Linked DNA regions of Danio rerio. The protein of the gene in region 3 purifies or fractionates together with the protein of the main gene of each other region. This does not show direct contact. Links are inferred from orthologs where the notes say so. Each region holds a gene or a part of one and is shown on either strand. Other genes may lie near its edges.

What was found. Proteins that work in one complex are often made in the same cells at the same time.
Region 1: the proteins of vapb (region 3) and rab3gap2 purify together in Homo sapiens (affinity purification with mass spectrometry; 4 studies listed by BioGRID and IntAct, counting the BioPlex papers as one, with this or other methods). This does not show direct contact. The link is inferred for Danio rerio from reciprocal best matches to the Homo sapiens genes VAPB and RAB3GAP2.
Region 2: the proteins of vapb (region 3) and vps13c purify together in Homo sapiens (co-immunoprecipitation; 3 studies listed by BioGRID and IntAct, counting the BioPlex papers as one, with this or other methods). This does not show direct contact. The link is inferred for Danio rerio from reciprocal best matches to the Homo sapiens genes VAPB and VPS13C.

Annotation. Positions count from the first base shown.
Region 1 is NC_133192.1:27,009,465-27,013,170, reverse strand, and holds part of rab3gap2 (rab3 GTPase-activating protein non-catalytic subunit), read left to right. Parts: intron 1-1,622; coding exon 1,623-1,689; intron 1,690-1,820; coding exon 1,821-1,891; intron 1,892-1,964; coding exon 1,965-2,000; intron 2,001-2,089; coding exon 2,090-2,209; intron 2,210-2,352; coding exon 2,353-2,568; intron 2,569-3,706. UniProt on the Homo sapiens protein: Regulatory subunit of the Rab3 GTPase-activating (Rab3GAP) complex composed of RAB3GAP1 and RAB3GAP2, which has GTPase-activating protein (GAP) activity towards various Rab3 subfamily members (RAB3A, RAB3B, RAB3C and RAB3D), RAB5A and RAB43, and guanine nucleotide exchange factor (GEF) activity towards RAB18.
Region 2 is NC_133182.1:29,675,159-29,678,864, forward strand, and holds part of vps13c (intermembrane lipid transfer protein VPS13C), read right to left. Parts: intron 2,748-3,706; coding exon 2,621-2,747; intron 2,537-2,620; coding exon 2,301-2,536; intron 2,170-2,300; coding exon 2,028-2,169; intron 430-2,027; coding exon 289-429; intron 191-288; coding exon 109-190; intron 17-108; coding exon 1-16. UniProt on the Homo sapiens protein: Mediates the transfer of lipids between membranes at organelle contact sites. Necessary for proper mitochondrial function and maintenance of mitochondrial transmembrane potential.
Region 3 is NC_133181.1:52,216,130-52,220,360, forward strand, and holds the start of vapb (vesicle-associated membrane protein-associated protein B/C), read left to right. Parts: upstream 1-1,333; 5' UTR 1,334-1,590; coding exon 1,591-1,648; intron 1,649-4,231. UniProt on the Homo sapiens protein: Endoplasmic reticulum (ER)-anchored protein that mediates the formation of contact sites between the ER and endosomes via interaction with FFAT motif-containing proteins such as STARD3 or WDR44.

The DNA.
Region 1 (3,706 bases), on a different chromosome or scaffold from region 3:
TTTGTATGAACATTATGTAAAATGAATGTTAAATATCTTTGCAGAAAATAAATGAAATTTGAATTATTATACAAATCAGTGTAAACTTAACCTAATCAAACTTAATCAGTGTTGTGCTAGTTACTGAAAAATTGTACTAGTTACAGTTACTTTATTCAAAAAGTAACTCAACTACTTTATCGGTTACTTACACCGAAAAGTAATGCATTACCGTTAAAAGTAACTTTTAAGTTACTTTTCCAAAGAACATTCGTAATGCTCCCATTAATGCCCTTATAACTAGGGCCAGATGGAATATACAGATAATTTTTGCAATTTCTGTGCAGAATTTTTTTAAAAATCTGTGAATTTATGCAGATTGATTTTGGGAGTATCATAAATAAAACCTTAATATATTAAATAAAAAGTAATACCTTTTTAACTTATATTTAATGTTTACAATGCAAATCCAATTAGATCCACTTTATTTGGTAAACAAAGCAAGTCTCTCATAAAATATATCTACTAAAAGACTGAAAATATTACTTTACAAACTTTATTGTAAATACATCAAGCAAACATTTTAATATTAAAATTATTATAGCACATTATTATTGGTAAAAGCTGAATAAATAAAAATATACACACGTTTACACAAGTAAATAAACAGAACCAATGATGGGCTAAAATTCTGCGGAATTCCTCACACGCAGATTCCGTGTGGGCCTACTTATAACATCTCTTCAGTGCTGCATGGAAAATACACCGTTGATCAACTTCACAGTTGTAATTAATTTGCATTCTCACAACTAAAACACAAAACAAATTTAAATAAATGAGTGATTAAAAATGACTTTTTATTTAAGTCAGATTTAAGTTTAAAGTGATAAACCAGCTAAATAATATATTCAAAGACAAAAAAAAGAAAAAACTAAAGTTGCTTCAGCAAAAGTTGTATTTCACCCTTAATCATGTTCCTTCACAGCTTGAGTATAAAAATAGCGACAATATACAACAAACACAAAAAAATAAATACATGAAAGTTATATGAACTATCTATTTTGAATCAATGTGGTGAAACTCAGCACCAAAAAAAACTGCTATTATAGACAACCATAATCTATGCATTTTTTAACAAAAATTTGATCTATTTCGAACGTACACTTGATCTCTTTCGCCTGCACACTTGGTGTACCTTACGTACATTTGGTCTCTCTGCTTTCGCTTGACTTTTTCCAGTCTGGCGCCTCATACACAACGTATTTACTGTGGTTGGTTGGCATCCTCCTATCCCACATTGCATCGCTGATGTATACACGGCTAGACTGTAGGCTAGACTGCAGCCAAAATTCATTAATTTACCAAGAAATGGACAAACACATCATATTGTGACATTAATGGAGTTACTATATCTAAAAAGTAATGCGTTACAGTATTAGTTACTGTCAAAAGTAATGTCATTACAGTAATGCATAATTGCCCAACACTGGTCTTAATCATATTCTTTTTGTTAAAAAATGTTTTTGGATGTTAACTCAAAAAGTCAAGAAAATACAACAGCAGTTTTTATCCTGTAAATAATAACATAACTGTAATACTGGATAAATGTCAGCCAATCACAGAGAACTCTTCTCTCTGTTCAGGTGGGACAGTACTTAGAATGGTCAGTGGAGTTTTTGAAGATGATCTCCAATCCTCACATTCAGTTGGGTAAGAGACTGAAAAAAGTTCACAAGTCAATCACGTTTTTTTTTGGACCGGAAGTTGCCACAACACATATAATCACAACTAAAGTATTTTTTGTGAAAACTCTCTCTCTCCTTTTCCTCCTATTCTTCCAGGTGTTTCAGCTATGATGTGGCAGACCTTCATTGTCAAGCGGTTTTCAGCTGCTGCCTTCCTAATTGAAAAGGTGTGTTTATGTCAGTTCATTTTCTTTGTTCAGCTTCTATGAAATAATTGACTGTGTGTGTGTGTTGATCAAGGTGGGAAAGGCACCTAAAGACCGGCTGTGCAGACGGGTAAGAAAAGACACAAAGCACGATTTCAGTTCAGGTCTGTGTCATTGGAATTAACATCTGTGCCTGATGTGTGTGTGCATATGTTTTAGGATGTAGGAATGGGGGACGCGGCTGTGAGGAGTTTCCTGGGCTCCTGTGTGCAGTTGCTGCAGGCTCTGATGGAGGTCTCATCTTCCTCTTTTCTTCCTTCCTATCCTTTTTTCTCCAGAGTAAGGACAGATCAAATGATGGATGCATGGAGCAGAAGCATGGCTAAAGTTATTGTAGCACTTTCAATGACGCTGATCAGTGAATGGGTTGATGTAAAAGAGTTAGATCTATTTTAATCTGCTCCTCTCTTTTTCTCTCTCAGGCGGATTCAGCAGTGGAGGAAGTGCCTCCTCCAGATGTGTGTGTGGAGGAAGCGTGGAGCGCTGCAGACGGCCCGGTGTCCATAGTAGAGTTAGCTCTGGATCAGAGATCTGTTCACTATCCTCTCGTTCAGCATCACTGTGTGTTGGCGACTCTCCTGCATGCCGCCATGACCTTCAGTCTGCGACTGAAGCCGCTCAGTCTGTTCGACAGCAAGGTAGATTTACTACACAGATTTTATACATTCTTACATGCACGCCATGCTGAAAGTTATTAGGACTACATCTGTTCCATTCCATCCTGACTTCCATAATAGGAAAACAAATATTATAGCAGTTAATGGTTACAGGTTTCCAGCTGCCTTCAAAATATCATGATTAAAGGTCTCATGAAATTAAAATCAGTCTGTTGGTTTTAAGGATATCTATAAGCTAGTGTGCTCCAAAACGGTGACATAATTCGTGTTTGGAAAATATAAAACTGATATAAACATCCGAAGCTTGCAGTTTGTCACCTCTGCCTAAATTGATCAGCATTTTTTTGTCGCCTCATATAAATCTTGACCAATCAAATGCTCTCTTGTATCTGACATGCCCCGCCCTACCCTATTTAAGATGCTTTCAATTTGATTTTCTTTTGATGCGCTTGAGCCCCACCACTATCACTGGCAGAGCTGTGGTAAAAGCAAAACACTATTGGCTGTTTTTTTAAGGGGAGGGGCTACTATATGTCCTGCCTTATCTTCGTTTCTCAGGTGAGATTACATCAAAAATCGAATAACAAAAATGCACGTTTTAAAACACTTCACGGAACCTTCAATATGATATGAGTAAAATGAACTGTTATGTTAACGTGAACATTATTTTACATATATAAAAAATATTTCATATTATATCAAAGAAACTACAGTACTATTGTTTTGTACACAATAAACAAATATAGATGTAGATGCATAACTGACATTTCCATGGGCTTTACTGCTTTTTTTGCAATCACCATCTTACTGTTACTGTGCGTTCACACCAAAGACAACAATGCTGTCTGCCTTCACAGCTCCGCTGGCAAGAGCGTCAAAATTCGCTAATTTGATCTTGTATTTAAAGTGGCCGTTGCAGCATATCAGCAAATCAGTTTAATTCACGCATAAAACATGCTTTGTAGAATAAAAATGTTCCTCACTTTTTTATTAAATTTATATTACAATGGGAGATCAATTTGTTGTGTGTGGTGTGGCCTTGCTCCACTTATCTAATATGTGTCCACATGTCTGAAATACTCTGAAGCAGCAATATTGTTTTGTACTGTACATGAGATTCCAGCTTTTTTAAAGAAAATATCTTTATATATATATATAT
Region 2 (3,706 bases), on a different chromosome or scaffold from region 3:
ATGAATGGCTTTGGCTCTAAAGATGAAAAATAGTTCATTCACTTCGCATGTGCACTCAGAAGTCTATTAGCTGAGACACAGTCTTCACATGCTAGCTACTGTTTGTACCTGAGTCCTGAACAATGGATTTTGGAAGAGGAACAGGATGAAACACAGTAGGAAATATAGCTCCTGGCAGCTGATTATCCACCTGGAACAAATAAATGGTGCACATAATAACTGAACGGCGGCCAAAAGCAACGGAAGTGTGACATTCAACAAGTACTGTAAGAAGTGTGTATGCGTTACCTGTAGCCAATAGAGCTGTGCACGTAGACTCCTCTGATGAGGTGACTGCTTCAGCTCAACATGAATGCCAGGCAGGAAGTTTCTCCTTATCTGGCAGGAAAACGGCTGTCTCATTAACATGGGCACTCTTCCAAAGTTCACCTGTTTTAACGAAGACGAAAAAGAATACCATGAAATCCAAGCATCATAAAATGTCTAATGACATTTTTGTTATAACTATTATTCAAATATACACTCAGAAATTCATCCTATGTAAATCCTTTTAACATTGGTAACTGCATTTTTAAAAAAATGCAATCTTACAAAGGGTTATTTTTCACCTATTAGGTCATGTTTTATATACAAAATAATTTTAAAAGTTCATTTTGACGAAAAAAAATAATAATTTGAAAGGTCTGACATGGAAGATTTAGTATTTGCTAGGCCTGTCAAGATATCTTTTTGTTTTGCACAATATATTACATCAAAATATAATGCAATAAATGATATTATTATAATTTTAAGACCATTTTATGGCACTCATTATTTAATGCCAGAATGACAACATTGTAGCATTACAATGCAAGTACACTCTTCCAAAGAACACAAAAAATGTTATTCTTAAGAATATTTAATTTTATTATAGTAATTTTAACAATTTAACAACTCTGCATTGGAATCAGAATGTAAAAACTCATATCCTAAATAAATAATAATAAATGTTTTCAAAAAAATTGCAAGGTAAAAAGTAACTGAGGCACAACCAACTAGAATTTGCTAGAATTGGTTTTTAGATATAGGCGATATATATTAAATCACCAAAAATTAATAAGGTCATGTTCATGTGTTGTGCGATATATTGAATATTGTGACAGACCTAGTATCGGGTGACTTTTGTGACGGTAGTAATATTAATTTTATCATTATTATTACAATTATTAATGAAATGTTAAAATCACCTGTTGGGATTCCAAATTCAGAAATAGATGTATTTTAGTAATTTTAAAGCCCAGTGTATTTAAAAATATATATTTATAGATAAAATAAAAGATTAAATATTGGAAAACGTAATATGTTACTACCCTTGGTTTACATTAAACATTGAATATTTTACACTAAAAGACCAACCTTGAATTATAACTATTTAAAAGAATAGTTCACTCAAAAGTAAACATTTGCTTTTAATTTACTTGCATTTTTAAACAGGAATCTTGCATGGCAGACTGTGAAGAACATGCTTAGGACTGTTTGCAGAGGCTATGGATTGCATGTAATGTAATGCGTTGAATACTTTCTTGTTTCTTGCACAATATTGTTTCTTTTTATAAGACCTCAATTTAACTTAACCTTTATCTTCACATTTAGTCATTTGGCAGACACTTTTATTCAAAGCAAATTACAATGAGAATGACATCAAACGACTGATCATAAAAAGACAGTACTCACATCATGTGCTACTAGTGCAAAGCTTCTGATTTACTTAAAAAATATATAAGTTAGGTGATAGGAGCAGTTGAGGAAAAAGAGAAGTTTATATATAGTACAGCATATATACAGTAGTTCTGTAAATGTTTAAATATTTTACTGACACTCAATTTGCAGGTAGCCTTTGATTCTATTTTATGAATGACCAGTCTCAGATTTATGTTTAATTTAAGAAAGAAACCTACATATCCCTTTCAATTTGGATTTTCATGTCAGTGTTAAATAATTGTGACATTTTACATGTTCAAACTTTTTGTGGTGAAGTATTTAATTACCTCTATGCCAGTTTCAAGCATAGTCCAGCCTGGATCACTCTTGTTGATGTGGTTCTGGTAGGCTTTCTCTAGCAGTCCAATGTTCTTGTGATTAAAGGACTTCCAGCGGTTCTTCGGTCTCATTTCCCAAACCACACCAGAACTTTAAAAGGGGATTCAATCATCACGTCACCAACTATACAATCATGTGGCATTTATGCTCCCTCTTTAACGGTTTAGTAATTATTATAAATTAATAGTCACACTGGTTGTTGCTGGGTGTGGATTATTTACCTGGTAATGCCAACATATGCAATTTCCTGCCTGATGTCATTGTTGATGAGTGACAGGCCCAGGTTCTGTAATGAGACGTTGACTTCCTGCTGGAACTGCTCCAGCTCCTCTGCTTGCCGTGCTTTTGTGACTATGCCAACATCCTCAGTGAAGATCAGCACCCGCTGCCGGCCATCCAGGAAAGACACCCAGTGAATCTGAACCAAGCTGCTGTAAGCAAACTGCCCGCACTCATCCTAAAATAAAAGAGCATGAGAGGAAGTGATGAGCATGGCTGTAAGAGGGTCAGTAGATTCACTAACGCTCAATCTTTTTCTAACCTTGACAAGGTCCAGTTCTCCAATGTGGTCTTGACAGCTCCAACAAAGCTTCCTCACCCCTGCTGGATCATCCCATGCAAAGCGCTGAGCTTCACCTGGCCTCAGAGCCCAACACTCCTCACAACCTCTGCACAAGCACACAGATACACATTCACACACTCAGAAACACTCAATAAGAGTATGATCATACATTCACTGACACCAGATACTTTGATCCTACAGTTTGACATACTGTATGTGAATGTTTCAAAATAAATGCTATGCCATCGGGTAGTTAAAAGAACTCAGTTATAGGAACTAGCCGCTGTGGTTGTCCCAGGACCGTATTCCTGGTTGTATTTGCAATACCAGAGTTTTTTTTTTATACCATAGAAAAAAATGATGTAAACTGCCTGACAGTGACATTGATTAAGCGTGATATTCAACAACATGAAGGGGTCAGAGTTGGGTCTTTAATTGAGTCATTATTTTGTTGTACGTCATGGATTTTGTGATAAGAGACAAGGAATGCAGACATCACAACTTGAACAACTTGAAGGGCTAAATATCATGGAGACTGAGACAAGAATACAACCCTGCAGAGACTGGCAACAGTTTATGACATTAACGCTTAATTGATGTTAATGCTTATGCATTGTACTAATAAATTCTGTGCTGCAAAAGTCCTGAATGGCATGCACTCGCCCTATCATTCCCCATTTACATCACTGGTAATTCTAACTGTGCTGGGTCAAGCCCTATTCTGGAATATATATCAATTTATATACAGTGCTCACATATAAGTATACCCATTACAAATCTCTCTTTTAAATTAATATTTTTAATAGGAAGCTATGCAATATTATATTTGTGCATGTACATTAGATTAGTCAGTACTGAAGCCAAAACTAGAGCTTATCTAACAATATTATTTAAGATAATGGTAAAAAAAAATAGTAAACCCACATTTATATGTTATAGAAAAATATTAAATACAATTTTTAAAAATCAAGAGAAGCAGAAAAATATGAAAAATTGTTGAAATTTTGTTGGTTGTAATTATGTTTCAATATTTTGCTTAAATTTAATTGTGTTATCTTTCAATTT
Region 3 (4,231 bases):
TGAGTTGCTGCGATGTGATTGGCTGATTTAAATTGGCATTAACGAGCAGTTAAACAGGTGTACCTAATAAAGCGGCCATTGAGTGTATACTAGCATACATTATTAAAAATATTTTATTTCAAAGTTTCAGCTACATTTTTAACATTTTGAAAGGTGAAAAAAAATAATTATGACACAATAATAGCATGTTTCTAAAATATATTCAGAAATATCCCAAATATATTTGTGTGAATAATGCTTTTGTTCATTGAGACTAATAGAGAAATACAGGTGTTTTAGTGAGATGTATTTACAATACAGTAATAAAACTCTTGTATAATTATGTTTAGGCGACACAGTGGCTCAGTGGTTTGCACTGTTGAGAAGGCTGCTTGTTCGTGTCCTGGCTGGGCCAGTTGGGATTTCTGTGTGAAGTTTGCATGTTCTCCCTATGTTGGCATGGGTTTTCTCCAGGTGCTCTGGTTTCCCCTCACAGTCCAAAGACATGCGCTCTCAGTAAATTGAATGAACTAAATCGGCCATAGTGCAGCTGGAAGAGCATCCACTGTGTAAAACATATGCTGGATAAGTTGGCGAAGTTCATTCCACTGTGGCGAGCCCTGATGAATAAAGGGACTAAGCCAAAGGAAAATGAACGAATGAATGAAAGAACTATTTTCAATTATTAAACATGCAAAGCAGTACAACTTTCTTTAGAGGTCATCACATGTTGCAAAGTTACCATAACATGCAGTGTAAAAAGATGATCAAAAGTCACGACAGCATTTTTTAAATGTTATATTAACATAATTAATCAGTCTTTTTTAGTTACCTATTTTAATATAATTTTAATTCATTAATATTTTTTGTTTCAAAGCAGCTTTACATTCAAAATCAGAAAAGTTAGGTTATTAGTTACCATAACTTTATTAGTTACTAATAATTTAAAATAATCATTCATTCATTTTCTTTCGGCTTAGTCTCTATTTTAGAGGTTGCCACAGCATAATGAACCGCCAACTATTCCAGCATATGTTTTATGCAGCGGATGCCCTTCCAGCTGCACTACGGCTAATTTAGTTTAACACTGAATTATTATATAATTAAGGTATTATATGTAAACATAGTTAACCTGCAGTTATATAGTATATAGGTGATATTGTTTGAACACAATCAGTCTTTAAGTATTTAAGCTAACTTAATATTGAGTTTTACGAATTTGAATGAATCATTTTAATTGATTCATAGTTAAATTACCTGTAAAGTTTATAAGATTTACACATTTACAGTATATTTTACAGTGTTGAAGATGCACAGATGACCCATTAAGATCAGCACCTCCACCCTTCACATCAGTCGCCACTACTGAGTGCATACTGCAGGGGCAGGGAGTGACGTCACGGCCAGCCTCCCTCTCTCTCTCCAACAGTCCCTTCCTGCTGCATCACAACAGTCGCTGGCGGATCGGGTAACACTGAGCTATTTCCACTGCCGCGTGGAGTTTTTTATTTCGATAAATGTAACAGAAGTCCTCATCGACTACAGCCTCCGCCGTCAAAGCCCGTCGCCCCCGTCAGTCCGAGCGGTCAGTCCGAGCGTTTGCAGTGGGAGATGGCCAGGCCAGAGCAGGTCCTGCTGCTGGAACCGCAGCACGAGCTCAGGTTCCGAGGTGAGTCCAGAAAGCCCCACACTGACGAGGACTTGCGGATAAAACGCCCTGGATGAAGAGGGAGGGTCAGCGGGTGTGTTTTTTTAGTGGTTGGGGGCTGAAGGAGGCGGCGAGATGGCGTTTCTGGCAGGCCTCGGTGCTTGGAGTAATCATAATAATATTATGGCGCAGCGGTGTGTTTCTCAATCGGTTTATTATTCAAACTCCGCTAAAATGACACCTAATGTGACACGATAAGGTGTTCGCTTTGTGGTTTGTTGTATAGACTGACAAGTGTGTTAGCTTGAGCTAGCTTGATTTAGGCCTTGACATACAGGCTCTGCTGGTGGGCTGGTTAATTCGGTTAGTGTGAAGCGGTTCAACCGGTGTTGCCATGTCCGCATGTAAAATGTCGCTAATCAGATGTGCTCACTATTTGCTTATTTACATAATACAATAGCGAAATGCGTGTTTATCCTACGTGTAGTGTGTGTGCATGTCATGATATATCTCTGTCATCATTGTGAGATGATTTCTCCATTTGAATGACCGCTGTGAGCGAGCTGTCAAAGGCAATTGCTAATCTTTTCCCTTATGCAGACGCTTGCAGGATAGAGTTGTTATTGTAAATATTGCAATAATGAAAATCTGGGTTGATGTGTTTCGGTTTCTTTTGGTGAAGCAATTGGTTATTATTATGTTTTAACTTCTTTTGTCAGAATAGCTAGCATGTAGAGAAATCTGGCAACACTGACAACCTACCTTTGACGCTGCTTCCAGTCAGGAAGTTATTAGCGTTAGTCTGAAGACACCTTTGTTATTATTCCACTTCAAAGTTCAGCATGACGTGGACATGTTGATACTAATGTCATAAACAAAGCTATTCTGGTGTTTTGGATAAAACATTGGTCTTTGGTCGACATTTAAAATTAAATCATTTTCCATTTACATATTTGTTTTTTTTTACAGGATTTCTAGGTTAATGTCATTTAGACTATCATTACATTACTATCACTAAACAGACTAATGCTAGTTTCACTTGTACACTTCATGCCCATGTCAATCAGCTGATCCATAAGACTCACAAAATAAGAATGACTTTCCAAGCTTTTAAATCGCCATATCATTGGCTACATTCCTCATCATTTCTGGGATACTTGTATTTGTCTTGTTCTTTTATAAACAAAAGCCTTTGTGGCATGATCCCCTCATAGAAGAAAGCCATAATTTTTAAAATGTCAATAGTATGTGTAGTTCTAAGTTTAGCAGAAGACTGACAAGGACATTAGCTTCAGCTAGTCTGTTTAGGCCTTGACACACCGCTCTATTGGTGGGTTGGTTAATTTGGTTATGAACTGAAGCAGTTCAACCAATGTTGCCATGCCCTTGATGTTGCATTTGTGTTTTGCTGTCACTTACAAAATGTGCTGTTGAGGGTTTTTTATGACACTGTGTAGCAACATTTTGTTTATCCCACATGCATGTCTTAATAGTTTTCTTTGTCATTATGTGACATTTACTTCTCTCTTTGATCCACTCTGAACATTTCTCCTCATGGTCAGATAATTACAAGATGTATTTCCTGCCATAAGCAGGAATAAACAACTTGAATGCTTGTTTGTGTGATGTATTTTGTTTATTTCTGGCTTAATTGTACAGAAGATGTTTAATATTTTTATGGAGAAATCTGGCCGCCTACCTTGATGCTGTTCCCAGTCAGGAAGACATCAAACACCTGTATTATTATCTAACTTCAAAGTTCATACGACTTTATAGATAATAATGTCATAGTTATGTTGGTGTTTGAAATAAGAATCTTTTAATCCAATGAGAATTCGCATATTTGACATTTCAAGGAACACATTCTTTTGGAAGCAAAGCCGTTGTGAGCCAAACCAGCTTGAAAACATGTTGTTTTTCATAAGAATTAACCTTACACTAGCTCGTGAAGTTCACAATCACAGCATAGACCCTTAACAATGATTTATTGACTGCATGCTGGTCTATTTATTGTACTAATGTCACCTTACCACTAAATATGATACTGCTTTACACTACCTGACAAAAGTAGCTTGTCACCTATCAAAGTTTTAGGAACAACAAATAATAACTTGACTTCTAGTTGATTATTTGGCATCCGAAGTGGCTTATATGAAGGGCAAAGGCCTCTAGATTACTCTTAATTTATTTTATTATTTATTTATTTATTACCAAAATAAAATATGATCATGCCTTAATTTTTAATTATTTCATTAGGACAGTAAGGTCTGACTTTGCTTAGACAAAAGTCTTGTCACTTAACATAAATAATGTACAGTATAGAATATAAAGTCATGGTGCAGTGGAAACAGAAGGAATATTTTGCATAACTCCCATGATCTTGGACAACTGCATCCATACATCTCTGCAATGACTCAAATAACTTAATAATAAAGTCATCTGGAATGGCCAAGAAAGCGTTTTTGCAGGACTCCCAGAGTTCATCAAGATTCTTTGGATTCATCTTCAATGCCTCCTCCTTCATCTTACCCTAGACATGCTCAATAAAGTTCATGTCTGGTGACTGGGCTGGCCAATCCTGGAGCACCTTAACCTTCCTTGCTT